Cricetulus griseus: one gene and its partners. The protein of the gene in region 2 binds, or shares a complex with, the protein of the main gene of each other region. Links are inferred from orthologs where the notes say so. Each region holds a gene or a part of one and is shown on either strand. Other genes may lie near its edges.

Region 1 (4,018 bases), about 55 Mb from region 2:
ACAACAACAACAACAAAACCCCCAATCTCCTTGAGTTTAGTTTCTGTGACATTCCAGCATTATCAACTAGTGTTCAGCTGTAACATTTTAACTTTCATTAAAATTATTTTGCTCTGGAAACCTGAATTTTCCAAGTAAATTGCCAAAGCCAGTGAAAAAGACAACTTTTGCTTGTAGTGTTTTTTCTTTTCTGTTTCACATAAGAGTTTTGTCTGGAGAGGAGGGTGAAAGCAAAGTAAGATGAGGTTTGGAAGGAGAAAAGTGAGAAGGGGGTGTGAAGGGGAGGGGAAGAAATGGAGGGACACAGAGAAAGAAAGGACAAGGGGACTGGAGACGTAGAGGCAGGGAAAAACCGAAGGGAAGAAAATGCTAAATACTTAAAAAAATAAATATCTGGGTCATCTCTAGCCTGTGTGGTCAAGGTTTGCCTAAAGGCTAAAGATCAGCAGCGCCTATACATCCTGGACCCTGAGGTGAGGGCCTGGGACGCTCTGCAGTCTGATCTTCACTGTGTATTTGTCACCCCCACCCAGGTGTCCCGTATCCACTTGGAAGAAGCTGGGCTCTCCTGCTTCAAGTCCTCCTCACCCCTGCTTCTCACGAGGATGGGGCAGGGTCCTCTCCGGTTATCAGTTTTTGTGTCAGCCAGGAGGCTTTTAAGTTGCCAGAGAGCACAGCTGGGAGGCCAGAGATAGAGAGAAGAGGTACTGAACCAGGAAAGACAAAGGCACCCTGGGGTCTCTGGAGCAAAGTCCCTCAGAACTTGTGCAGCGTCCGATCAGTCCTTACATGCTGCAGTACGACCTCCTTGGCTGGTGATGCACACTTGTACTCTAGCTCTGCACGTGCGGCTCCCTGCTTCTTGCGCAGGTGACATAGAAGCGCCAAAAGCGCCACCACCAGGGACAGGCTGGCGATGGAGATGCCAATGAGAACGCCAGAATGCACTGGCTTTGCTGAGGGCGGACCTGTGGGAGAGCCTGGTGTTGGACTGACTGGGGGCTCCCCAGAGCCATGGTCCTCGTTGTATTCAATAACAGGGGTGGGATCACAGTCCTTGCTAACCTGGCCAGCAAGAGCTGTGTCAGGCCCACAGATGCACTCATAGGAGCCGGGAAGATTTCGACACTCATTGCGGGAGCATTCCTCTTGACTGCACTCGTCAATGTCCACGCATATGTGACCTTCGTCCAGAATAAAGCCCTCAGGGCAATGGCAAAAATCAGGAGTGTTAGGGTCACAGTCAGCCGGGCATGAACTTTCATTGCAGAACATTTCACACCTGTGCGGTTCCCCGGGTTTGGGTGCGAAGCCCTCAGCACAGATGCAAATGTACTCTGTGGGACTCACTGGCTGGCACTGATATTCGCAGTCAGATCCGTAGCACGGATCCAGGAGCTCCACGCACTCTCCATCCACCAACTCAAAGCCATCATAGCAGAGACATTCAAAGCCGCCCTTGGTGTTGACACAGCGCTGCGGGCATGGATTGGGCCCCTGCCTACAGTCGTCCACATCCTCGCACCGGTGTTTGTCAGCTGCCAACTGGTAGCCAGTCTCGCACATACAGGTGTACGAGCCTGGGTCGTCCGGGTTGGCGACGCAAAAATGCTCGCAAAGGTCAGTGCACGAGGGCACCTCCGGTTTTATGCATGAGCGACCATCAGCCTGCAGGACGGTGTCTGTGGGGCAGAGGCATCTGGGCTCGCCCATGCTGTGGTTGCACGAGTACTCGCAGCCACCTTTTTCCACGCTGCAGTTCCAGGCTCCAGGCGCTTCCCGAGACCAGTGTCCCTCCGAAATTCCAAGCTGGGCTCTACACACTAGCTCCAAACCGAGGGACTCCACAATAGCCGAGCTGCCTATTGGCAGAGTCTGAAAGTCCGCACCACGGACGCCGAATGGTGTGTTGTAGGTGATGGAGAGGTGGGCAGCCTCGGGACCTGGGGGATCCACCTCCAAAGGCCTGCAGGACGTTGTGAAGTGGAACTCACAGAGGAAGCTGTCGGCTTCAGTCTCACACTGCTGCTCCTCCCAGGCCGGCTCACCCGGTGCTGCTGCTATTGCTGTTGAGACCGTGACGCACAGCGGGCCACAGAGTGGAGACTCCTGGTCTTTGGGCCGCGCCCACCTGCTGTAACTGGTGTGGTTGTCGCCTGTAACCCATTGGAAGCCGCGCAAAGGCCCGGAATGCCCCGGGTCGCCGCAGCCCTCCGGGAGCTGTAAACCGATCCAGGGGCGTGAGTTCATACTACTGTCGTCGCTCAGCAAAAGGGAGATGACATCGGCAGCCACTGAGGAGCGCACTGTCATTAGATGTCCGTTCAGGCTTTCGCAGGCAAGGCTGGCAGCGAGGAAGTTCATGGGGCCCTGGAAAAGCGCGAAGCACTCGTATTCCACGCACTGACTGCCTCTGGACTGCAACTTGGTTAGTGCGGAGATCCCCAGGCCAGCTGGAGCCAACAAACCCAGAAGAAGAACCCCAAGCATGCTGTCCAGGGGTTCGCGTGCAAGCTCCCGGGAAAATGCTAGCCAAGAGACGGTGCAGGCACCCAGCACCGGCAAGGGAATTTCGGACGCCTCAGGCGACAACAGCTAGCCCCTGTGGTAGCCTAGACGTTTCTAGCCCAGGCTCGTAGTACCGGCGAGTCAGCCTCTGACATGCTACTCCGCTGCGGCTCCAGTTTATAAATGCGCGGCCCTCCCTCTCTGGACGTTCGGGAAAAGGAAGGAAGTGCTTGGTGGGAAGGGCTGATGCTGCATTCTCGGATTACTGGGTTCTCCGGACGCCTTGCGCCCGCCCTCCAGCCTGGGATCACCTCTGCATGATGAGTAAAAACTCGGCCAGGGCGCACGGAGGTCCTCGGGCGGGGCCCGAAGGCGCCAGCAAAGAACAGAACCAAGTCAGCAAGAAGACAGTTCCCGCCCTAGACACTCTGGGGTAGCCTGCGAGTAGCCTGTAGCCTGTCTTTAAACACCCCCCCCCCACACACACACACACACTTACCTTCCCCATGAATGCTTTCAGACTTTGTAGGATGGTCTCGTTGGTGGGCTCTAGGAAGAAGAAACTTAGAGTCGGGTAGAGAGTGTGTCTAAAACCTGCAGGACACTGGGAGGGATTAGCAAACAAGATCAAGAGGAGAGGACAAGGATTAATCCCTTGGAGGACTAGCTGGACCCAAGACCAGGGACCAGGGAGCCTGGGTGGGGCCACAAACAGAGGGCTAGATCCCAAAGCACTTTAGACGGGGTTAGGGAAACAACGCCAGTAGCAAGAGTACTGGCCTAATAATCTCAGACCCCCTCCGCTCCTCTTCTCCACTCTGACGACTGGCCGGCTATCGCCAGTTCCTGGGCAGGTTATCTTTAAGGAAAGGCCCTGTCTGGTTGCGTGAGAAAGTCGTGCGAGTGCTGTATAGGCTCAGAGATCCTGGCCCTCTACTCGAGTATTATTCCTACAAAACACCGTGGGGGAAAAGTGTGTTTCATTCCTTTGTTCTGATGTTTTGTTTTGTTTTATTTACCCCAAGCCCTTCCCGAGCCCCTCAACGAAACTGGTTGGGAGCCACCGCAAGGAGGCGATGTGAGCTACAATGGAGTCCACTTGTTTTCTTTTGAGGTGATGATTTTCTGGAGAGGCTCAAAAGATAGCGGTCCCTGCATATTCCATTTGCTCACAAAATGCATTCAAGAGGAGGGGTCCTGTGGGCAGGATGCCAGCCAGCCGCTGGGAGGTGTGGATGGGAGTCTGTCACTTAGAACTTTTATCTGTTTAAGCACTCATCAAGAATGTGGAGTTCTGGGTCAAAATCAAAGTGCTTTCTCGCGCGCGCGCGCCCGCGGGAGCGCACACACACACACACACACACACACACACACACACACACACACACACACGCACACACGCACACACACGCACACACTCCTACACTCTACGGCCGTCACTTCCACCCCACTGCCAGAAGACGGCGCTGTTGAACTCTAGACCAATCCAAGGATAATGGAGCATTACAAC
Region 2 (3,502 bases):
GAGTATAATACAATTCCAATAAAAATACCAAATAAGCTCTTATTTGTTTGCTTGGATTTTGTTTTGTTTGAGACAGGGTCTCTCTATGTAGCCCTGGCTGCCCCATAGCTAGCTTGCTATGTAGACCAGGCTAGCCTTGAACTCACAGAGATCCTCCTTGCCTTGCCTCCAGAGTGCTGAGATTAAAGGTGTGAACCACCATGCCCAGTTGTTTGCTTATTTTTTAAATAAGGTCTACTGTAGCCAAGTAAGCCTCAAGCTCACTATAATCCACCTGCCTCTACTCCCTGAGTGCTGAGGTTACAGATGTACACCACTCCACCTGGCCTTCTCTTACCTCCCTCCCCAGGACTGCCAGATTTATAGCACTTCAATCCCTTAGGCCTCCCTGCTGCTGCTCAGACCTACCAAGCATTGGCCTACCTCATGACCGAGTCTGTCCCAAAACCAGGATCATACTCCCACTCTGTCCAACCCTCATTCACTTCTTCCAGTCTCTGCTTAGCCTCCACCTTCCTGAGAAAGGCCTTCACCAACCCTCTCTGACACTTTATTTGGTTGACGTTGTCCCTTGCAGTCTCCTTTACTCTGCTCCTCTCCTCTTCAGAGCTGTTATCAAGAATTGGTGCTCTAGACATTTTATGTATTGGCATATCCCCCTAGGAAGGAAGCTTCCTCAGGACCACCTATTTGGGTCTCTGCTGTGTACCCTCAAATGTTATCTTGGACCCAATAGGCATTCAAGAAGTATGTGATAAGTAACTGAATAAAAGTCCTTTCCCTACCTAGGACCTCCACTGAGCTACATATATTGAGCATTGAGCAGGAATTAATGGCCTCAGGCCAAACACACTCTCTCTAACTTCACACCTCAGTGCATGGAAACTTTTACCTTCCTTTTACCATCAAAAGGTTCAGCCACTTGCCTAGAGTCTTCTGACTTGTACAAGCCAAGGTATGTGCCCATACCACATCCCAAGTCTACCAATCCCTGTTCCTGACCCAAGACAAAAGGCTTACCAGCACAGAACATGTTGTCAGTGATGCGTATCCGAGTGGAGGCCTTGCACACCGACCTTTCTACAATGGGCAAGTTCACCACCTGCAGGACGCTGGGCTGTATCTCGCTGATGCTGGTTGTCCATGTCTCCCGAAGGTTGCCCCAGCCTGTCACCCGCCCTTTGTACCCAGCCTGGAGCAAGCTTTAGGGAAAGAGAGGAACCCAATGAGAATTGTCCCTGACAGCATCTAGAAGCCTTCTGATAACCAACTCTATTTCCCAGAGACCAACATATAAAAACCTAGCAGAAAGCTGGGCGATGGTGGCGCATGCCTTTAATCCCAGCACTCGGGAGGCAGAGGCAGGAAGATCTCTGTGAGTTTGAGGCCAACCTGGTCTACAAGAGCTAGTTCCAGGTCAGCCTCCAAAGCCACAGAGAAACCCTGTCTCGACAAACCAAAAACCAAAATAAAATAAAATAAAATAAATAAATAAATAAATAAAAAACCAAAAAAAAAAACTAGCACAGAAAAGGACTTTTGCATTCACACCATGAAACTGCAACCTGCAAATGTGTGCCAGGCCCCAAGGTCCAGAACCCAGGCCAAATCACAGCAGAGGCCTTGGTGCTGACCTGGTTGCTGTCTGCCTGTCCGGCAGGCACACAGGATGAATATAGTCGCTGAAAGGCACAGGCTTTTTGAGTTTGAGCAGGGCGATGTCTCGGTCCAGGTTCTCCCGCCAGTTGTATCTGGGGTGAATGTATATCTTTTCCAGCATGGAGATCTTTTCAATGTTCCGCTCATACCTGTGCAGATCCCAACAGAAAAGTCAAGAGCTGTAGACCCCCCAGTGAGAACACTCAGCTCACTGAGGAAGGTCACACACAGTCTGCCCTGGGATTCTGGGAGGTAGGATGACCACTGAGCCACCACCTCTTCCTTGACAGCCCTCTGGCAGCTTCCTCCCAGTCCAATATCCACATAGAATTTTTGAGTCATATAGCCAGCAGACATAAATGGGCACAAGCCACATGTACTATTCAGAGTCACAACTGAAAGCGACTCCCACCTGGACCGTGTCCTGGTGTCTGGAGTGGGTCAGGACATTGCCCAAATAGGCTTTCCCAGTGGGGATGCTGAGAGGTTATACAGTGGGAGCCACATCTCACCTAATGGGCCCTGAGGTCCCAGCCTGTCACCGCCAGCCACCAACTTCATACCTGGTGCGAGAATGCTTGCCAATGCGTACCAGAAGGTCATTCTCAGTGAAGTTCTTGTCCCAGGGTGGGTACAGAAGGCAGTGGGCGGCAGTAAGGACCCACCGGTCACTGATGAGACTGGCCCCACACAGCAGCTCTTGGGGACTCTTCCGGAAAAGCATCACCTGCCTAACGGGAAGTAGAGTGCGTTAGGAGCTGGGACCTGGTCCTTCAGCAGTCCTAGAAGTGGAAAAAGAGCCTAGATTAAGAGCTACTGGGCTGGAATGGTGGCACAAGCCTGTAATCCTAGCACTCGGGAGGTGGAAACAAGAAGGATCACAAGTTCAAGGTCAGTCTCTGCCACATGAGACCTTGTGGCCACCCCCACCCCACCCCCCAAAAAAGAGAGAGAGAGAAAAAAAAGAAAGCTTGTGAGCTAGTGAAATAGCGCTGCCTCCAGGTTAGAATGACTCGGTCCTGGGGGACCAGAGCTCTTCAAGTGTAGACTTCATATAGTTTAGCATAGTTCTGGAGTCAGAAGATTTGGGTACAAGTCCTGATTGTATTATAGTGTGCCTGAGAGTGAGTTACTTAAGCTCGCTGGGCCTCAGCTCCACCATCTATCTGCTTAGGAGACATGGTAAATAAAGCCAGGCGGCTGGGATTTCTCTCGGGATACGTAGAGGGTGCTAGTGTCACTTGAGGAGCCAAGGCTTGTGTGAGTGCAGCGGCTGTGGGTGGGACAGGACGCACCAGGGAGCGATACCCATCTCAGCATCCCAGCCCTCCACGATGCGGCCATCTATGTAAGAGTCAAGCAGCTCCTTTTCGGTTTTGTCTTTCCGCGACTTCTTCTCGAACAGAGGCCGAAGGCCGCAGTCTGCAGTGCAAGGCCGATGGTGAGGGGTCTATCCTGCCCTCCAACCCTGCGTCCCATGGACACGCGGGTGCCTCACCTGCCTCCCCAAAGCCAAAGGTATTCTCATCAAAGAATGTGTGGAACTCCCCGTCCGTGGTGCGCCCTCCGATGGACTCCTCCACATCGTGGATCTCCTCTTCCACCGCCTCCTCTGTAAAAGATTGGGAGCTTAGATCTTCCCAAGCCCCTGCAGGCATTTGACTTTGGAGGGCATTTGACTCCAAGATTAAGAGCATAGTTACTTCTCAACCACCAGGCAACAACCTCTCAGGACCTCCGTTAACTCAGCTATGAAATGAGACAAGGACCTACCCCTAGCCAGGTTTCTGTAAGGCCGTAATGAACCCACTTGCCCTCTGCCCCTGAGCTCTGCTCACCACAG
Region 3 (4,159 bases), on a different chromosome or scaffold from region 2:
TATTTTACACCAGCCATTCATTCATGCTTCATTTAGTTTGGGGGAGGGGGCATGAAAAACAGAGAAAAAATTATGTCATAAGGATGTAAGATGGGTTTCCCCAGGGAGCTGAATTACAGGACTGCCCTAATCACCTGAGGTCTTTCCAAAATTATATTGTCCTAAAGCATCCTTCCAGAGTCACCTTGGCAGAGTCTGAGGGATGACTTGTCAGTCTGAACATGCATCTTCCTCAGATTCCATGAATACCAGGGCCAGGCCATCTCCTGATCCACAAGGAGAGCTTTACATTATGGACCAGACTTTGGAACCTTCATCCACCTTAACACCATGCTATGGGGAAACCGCTGTATGGAGATCAGCAGGCTTTGGGGGCCAAAAGTCACCTCCAAGGCCAAGTTCCAGCTCTGGCACTTTCTGACTCTGCTCGCTCTACATGTACAGTCCCTCCTTGTGATAAGCAATTACCAGCCAACTTAGCAGGATCTAGAATCACATTAAAAACCTCAGGGCATGTCTGTGAGGGTTGATTGAGGTGGTAAAACTCAGCCTACACCAGGGAGGTACCAGTCCCTCAGCTAGGGTCCCAGACATAATAAGACAGGAAAAAGTGACCTGGGCACCAGGTTTCTTTTTTGTTATTTCCTGACTAGGGATACAACATGACCATCTGCCTCCAGCTCCTCTGTCATCATTTTTCCTCCAAATTGTGAACTGAGATAAATCCTGCCTTTCATTGACTTGCTTTTGCCAGGATATTTTGTCCCAGCAATGAATAAAGGGAACTAATACACTCCCTGAGGGAAAAGATCAGGGCTCATATTCCATATCCTCAAACAATCTTGCATCTTCCTTAGTGAATTATCACTACAATAAATAGTGTTTGAGTTTGAGCTCCAAAGAAGGCCTCCAGCATGCCTAAATATATTATGAATCTTGACATTACCATCTACATATGACTGTTGGCAATTCTAGAGGGAGAAAAGGTAGTGGTAGATTGGTAGCCAACAGGGCAACACATGAAGATGCCGATCTACAATCAAGGTGGATCAGCATTAAAACCAAACCAAACCAAAACAAGACACAACTCCAGTTGCTATTTTGGAACTATGCTGGCTGACAGGGCTTGGATGGCAACAAGAAAGGCCATAAATTTAAGCAGTGACTCACGAAGGCAGTATAAATCACCAACAACCCTGAATGTCCCAGCCAGAGACAGAACGTTCCTTACATCTAATAAGTGGGCAAACTGCAAAAGCATGTAAAGTTTACTCTCTGTCAACAGGGGATAGCACTGGGTATATGGGACTCCCAACATATGACTCCCCCCCCCCAATATGAAGGCCACACTGAAAACACAAAGGAAGTGGCAATGATCAGCTACAGCCAAGGAAAAGCATTCTTCTACCACAAACCCAGCTCCAAGAGTCTTAGAGCTTCAACAGCTAGAAGGGGCGGGGAGGGGGCGAGAGAATGTGGCAAGAAAGCTCCATCACTTTCCAATGAGGTAACTGCTGCCTTGATATGAATCACGACTTGTTCGCACTCAGTGTGCATGACAGCAAAGAAGAGCTCAGAAACAGTCCTGTTCCCTCCGGCGCTATGGTTGTGGAAAGGGAGGACTAACCTACAGGGAAATACCACCAGCAGACACGTACTGTTCCTGTGGATAAGCAGGCAATTCAAAACAAGCTTTTCTTTCAATAACACTAAGCCTCTCTCATCATCCTCTACCGTATTTGTTGTTAGTTTGTTGGGTTTTTTGTTCGTTCGTTTGTCCTTTTGTGGAACTAAATATCAAACCCAAGGCTTTGTACACGGGAGGCAAGCCCCAGCCTCAGCACTGGGCTAGATCTCCAGGTTCATCTCATCTCTTTGAGATAGGCTTGGTATGTAGCCAGATGGGTCTTGGACTCTTGACCCTCCTGTCTCACATCTCAAATGCTATGATTAGAAGTGTGTTAGTTACCAGGCTCAATGGCTAGACAAGGCTGGGTATTTTTTCAAAAAGACATTTAGCTTCTTAATTCAGATTTATAAGTGATTTCAAATCAGCAGACAAGGTAGCTGGGGAGATGGCTCAGTCAGTGAAGTTCTTGACACATAAGCATGAGGATCTGAGTTCAGATCCTTAGCATCTATGTAAAACCTGCCAGTGTGGTGGTATATGTCTGTGATCCTAGCATTGGGGAAGTAGAGGCAGGTAGATCCCCAGAGCTCACTGGCCAGCTCACTCCCATACTGCCAGTCTGTAATGTGGACATGTACTACAAAGATGCTTACTTACAACACCAAAGATTTCCTTTAGGAGAAAACAGTAGTGCTGGCAGGCAAAGGTAACACAAAACCCAACAGCTACAGAACCTAACTTTGGGGATGTCATCTTTCCTTTAAAAGACCCTGGCCCTATGTTCCAGATGTCACTGCATGACTTTTCTTGGATGCCCTGCTTCTCAGATTAAGCAGAGACAAAGCCAGGACCCTTCACATGCAGGACTGATGGCAAGGCCTCACAAATGGAAGGAGAGAGCACACACGAACCGTTTACGCTGTATCTCATCACCGTCGTGAGCTGCTTCTTCGTCCTTCCATCAGCCCCCAGCTGCAGCATGCCCAGGATGGATGCAATCCCATGTGGGGAGATGACGATGTTTTCATGAGGCCGTGACTTGATGATCTGATTGAAAACCTGGATCCCTGTGTCAGAGCCTAGTTCCTCCAGAGACAGAGAGTTGAACTGGGAGTACACAGAAGACAAAGTCACTGTGGTCAAGATGAAGAAGGGAAAATGCCAATTCATGGTTCCTTCCAACAGGATCAGCCTAAAAGAAAAAGCAGATAGAAACACATCACTCTTTTGTGAACACAAAGGGATGAATACTCTGAACTCAACTAGGTCTGATTTCCTGTGCTCATGATAACTGAACGCTGTGCTAAGTTAGTCTCAAATGCATGGGGTTTAGACAGACAGGGCTGGAAAGCAGTACATTTCCATCTGCTAGGTCCTTAGTATGTACCAGGCACTAGGCTGAAATCAGTATTTAAATCTTGTAACTCTGTCAGTCATTTAAAGTGTTATTTCCAAGAGTCTTCCATGTGCCAAGCCCTACTGTAAGTGCTAGACAGACAACTGTAAATCTGATGGGTGTGACCCTGGCCCTCTCAAGAGTATCCTAGAGAGACACAGGGAAAAACCAGGAAGCTATTAGGTAACTGCAGAGAAGAATAAAAGCCACAAATAAAGCAAAGTGATATGGGTGAATGAAGGGCCATAGGAGGGCCACACCCTAGGGAATGCCACCTCTGTGGCAGGCACACCGGTGAGGACAGTCAAATATTGAGAAAAGAACTAGCCATGCATGGATGTGGGAAGAGCATGCCAGGCAAAGGGACAGCAGGACAAAGGAAGAATAGGTAGGCTATCTGATAGAGGCCAAGGTAGACAGAAACCAAGTGTCACAAGAGACCACTTGGAAGGTTTTAAAGAGAGGGAATGATTCAGCTTGTCGGGATTTTCTTATAACCACCCAGACTTGATTCTTTTAATGTACCACACACAACTTTTTTAAATTACAGGGCTGTTAATTAAAACAAATTTCAGTGGTAGCTTTAAAGCTACAACAGGGCAGAACAATTGCTAAATCCATAAACTGTGCGGATGGCGTCACTTACACGGAGAACTTCAATTACAGCCATTTGCTTTAAAAATGCTTCAGTCCTTGATTGCCACCGACAGTGCTTTCTTTGGCTACGACAAGAGGTAGGAGTTTACATGTATTTATGGGAAAGCAAATACTTCCATTAAGTTAGAACTCAGCGGCAGCACTTAGCAAAAACAAAGGCAGAATTTGTGATGTTACTAATTTGATCCCTGCTTTTAGGCCCGAGGTTTCAAAAGGCACAAATCTCCTGTGGTGCCATTGGAACCCCCTTGTCACCTATGGGAAGTTCCAGAGGGAAGCATTTGGAGAGACAGGTGACCTGGAGTGATAGGAAATCAGTGGCCACAGGGAAAAGAAATGTGTGGGCAGGGTGGGGTAAACTATGGCTTCCTGCCTTCCTTACCCTGTTTTGGGAACGTCCCACACTAGTTCATGTATGCCTGATACTCAAAAGACACTTGTGGGATTAAGTCCTAGGGGCTATGAGCACCAATTTC

The links.
Region 1: the proteins of F2 (region 2) and Thbd are in contact, whole or in part, in a crystal structure (PDB 1DX5), measured with the Homo sapiens proteins. The link is inferred for Cricetulus griseus from reciprocal best matches to the Homo sapiens genes F2 and THBD. Residues at the interface, in NP_000497.1 of Homo sapiens: Phe382, Ser385, Pro386, Gln387, Leu423, Arg425, Thr432, Arg433, Tyr434, Arg436, Asn437, Glu439, Lys440, Ile441, Met443, Lys470; in NP_000352.1 of Homo sapiens: Ser424, Cys425, Glu426, Cys427, Tyr431, Ile432, Leu433, Asp434, Asp435, Thr440, Asp441, Ile442, Asp443, Glu446, Asn447, Gly449, Phe450, Asp479.
Region 3: the proteins of F2 (region 2) and Serpine2 are in contact, whole or in part, in a crystal structure (PDB 4DY7), measured with the Homo sapiens proteins. The link is inferred for Cricetulus griseus from reciprocal best matches to the Homo sapiens genes F2 and SERPINE2. Residues at the interface, in NP_000497.1 of Homo sapiens: His406, Tyr410, Pro412, Trp413, Trp455, Arg456, Glu457, Asn458, Leu459, Glu509, Thr510, Ile542, Asp562, Ala563, Cys564, Glu565, Trp590, Gly591, Glu592, Gly593, Cys594; in NP_006207.1 of Homo sapiens: Val225, Arg288, Ser355, Ala356, Thr358, Thr359, Ala360, Leu362, Ile363, Ala364, Arg365, Ser366, Ser367.

What each region holds. Positions count from the first base shown.
Region 1 is NC_048599.1:30,602,466-30,606,483, reverse strand, and holds the start of Thbd (thrombomodulin), read right to left. Parts: upstream 2,801-4,018; 5' UTR 2,491-2,800; coding exon 757-2,490; 3' UTR 1-756. UniProt on the Homo sapiens protein: Endothelial cell receptor that plays a critical role in regulating several physiological processes including hemostasis, coagulation, fibrinolysis, inflammation, and angiogenesis.
Region 2 is NC_048599.1:85,136,316-85,139,817, reverse strand, and holds part of F2 (prothrombin), read right to left. Parts: coding exon 3,498-3,502; intron 3,272-3,497; coding exon 3,158-3,271; intron 3,082-3,157; coding exon 2,955-3,081; intron 2,391-2,954; coding exon 2,223-2,390; intron 1,809-2,222; coding exon 1,635-1,808; intron 1,203-1,634; coding exon 1,021-1,202; intron 1-1,020. UniProt on the Homo sapiens protein: Thrombin, which cleaves bonds after Arg and Lys, converts fibrinogen to fibrin and activates factors V, VII, VIII, XIII, and, in complex with thrombomodulin, protein C. Functions in blood homeostasis, inflammation and wound healing.
Region 3 is NC_048595.1:432,522,924-432,527,082, forward strand, and holds the start of Serpine2 (glia-derived nexin), read right to left. Parts: upstream 2,801-4,159; coding exon 2,542-2,800; intron 1-2,541. UniProt on the Homo sapiens protein: Serine protease inhibitor with activity toward thrombin, trypsin, and urokinase. Promotes neurite extension by inhibiting thrombin. Binds heparin.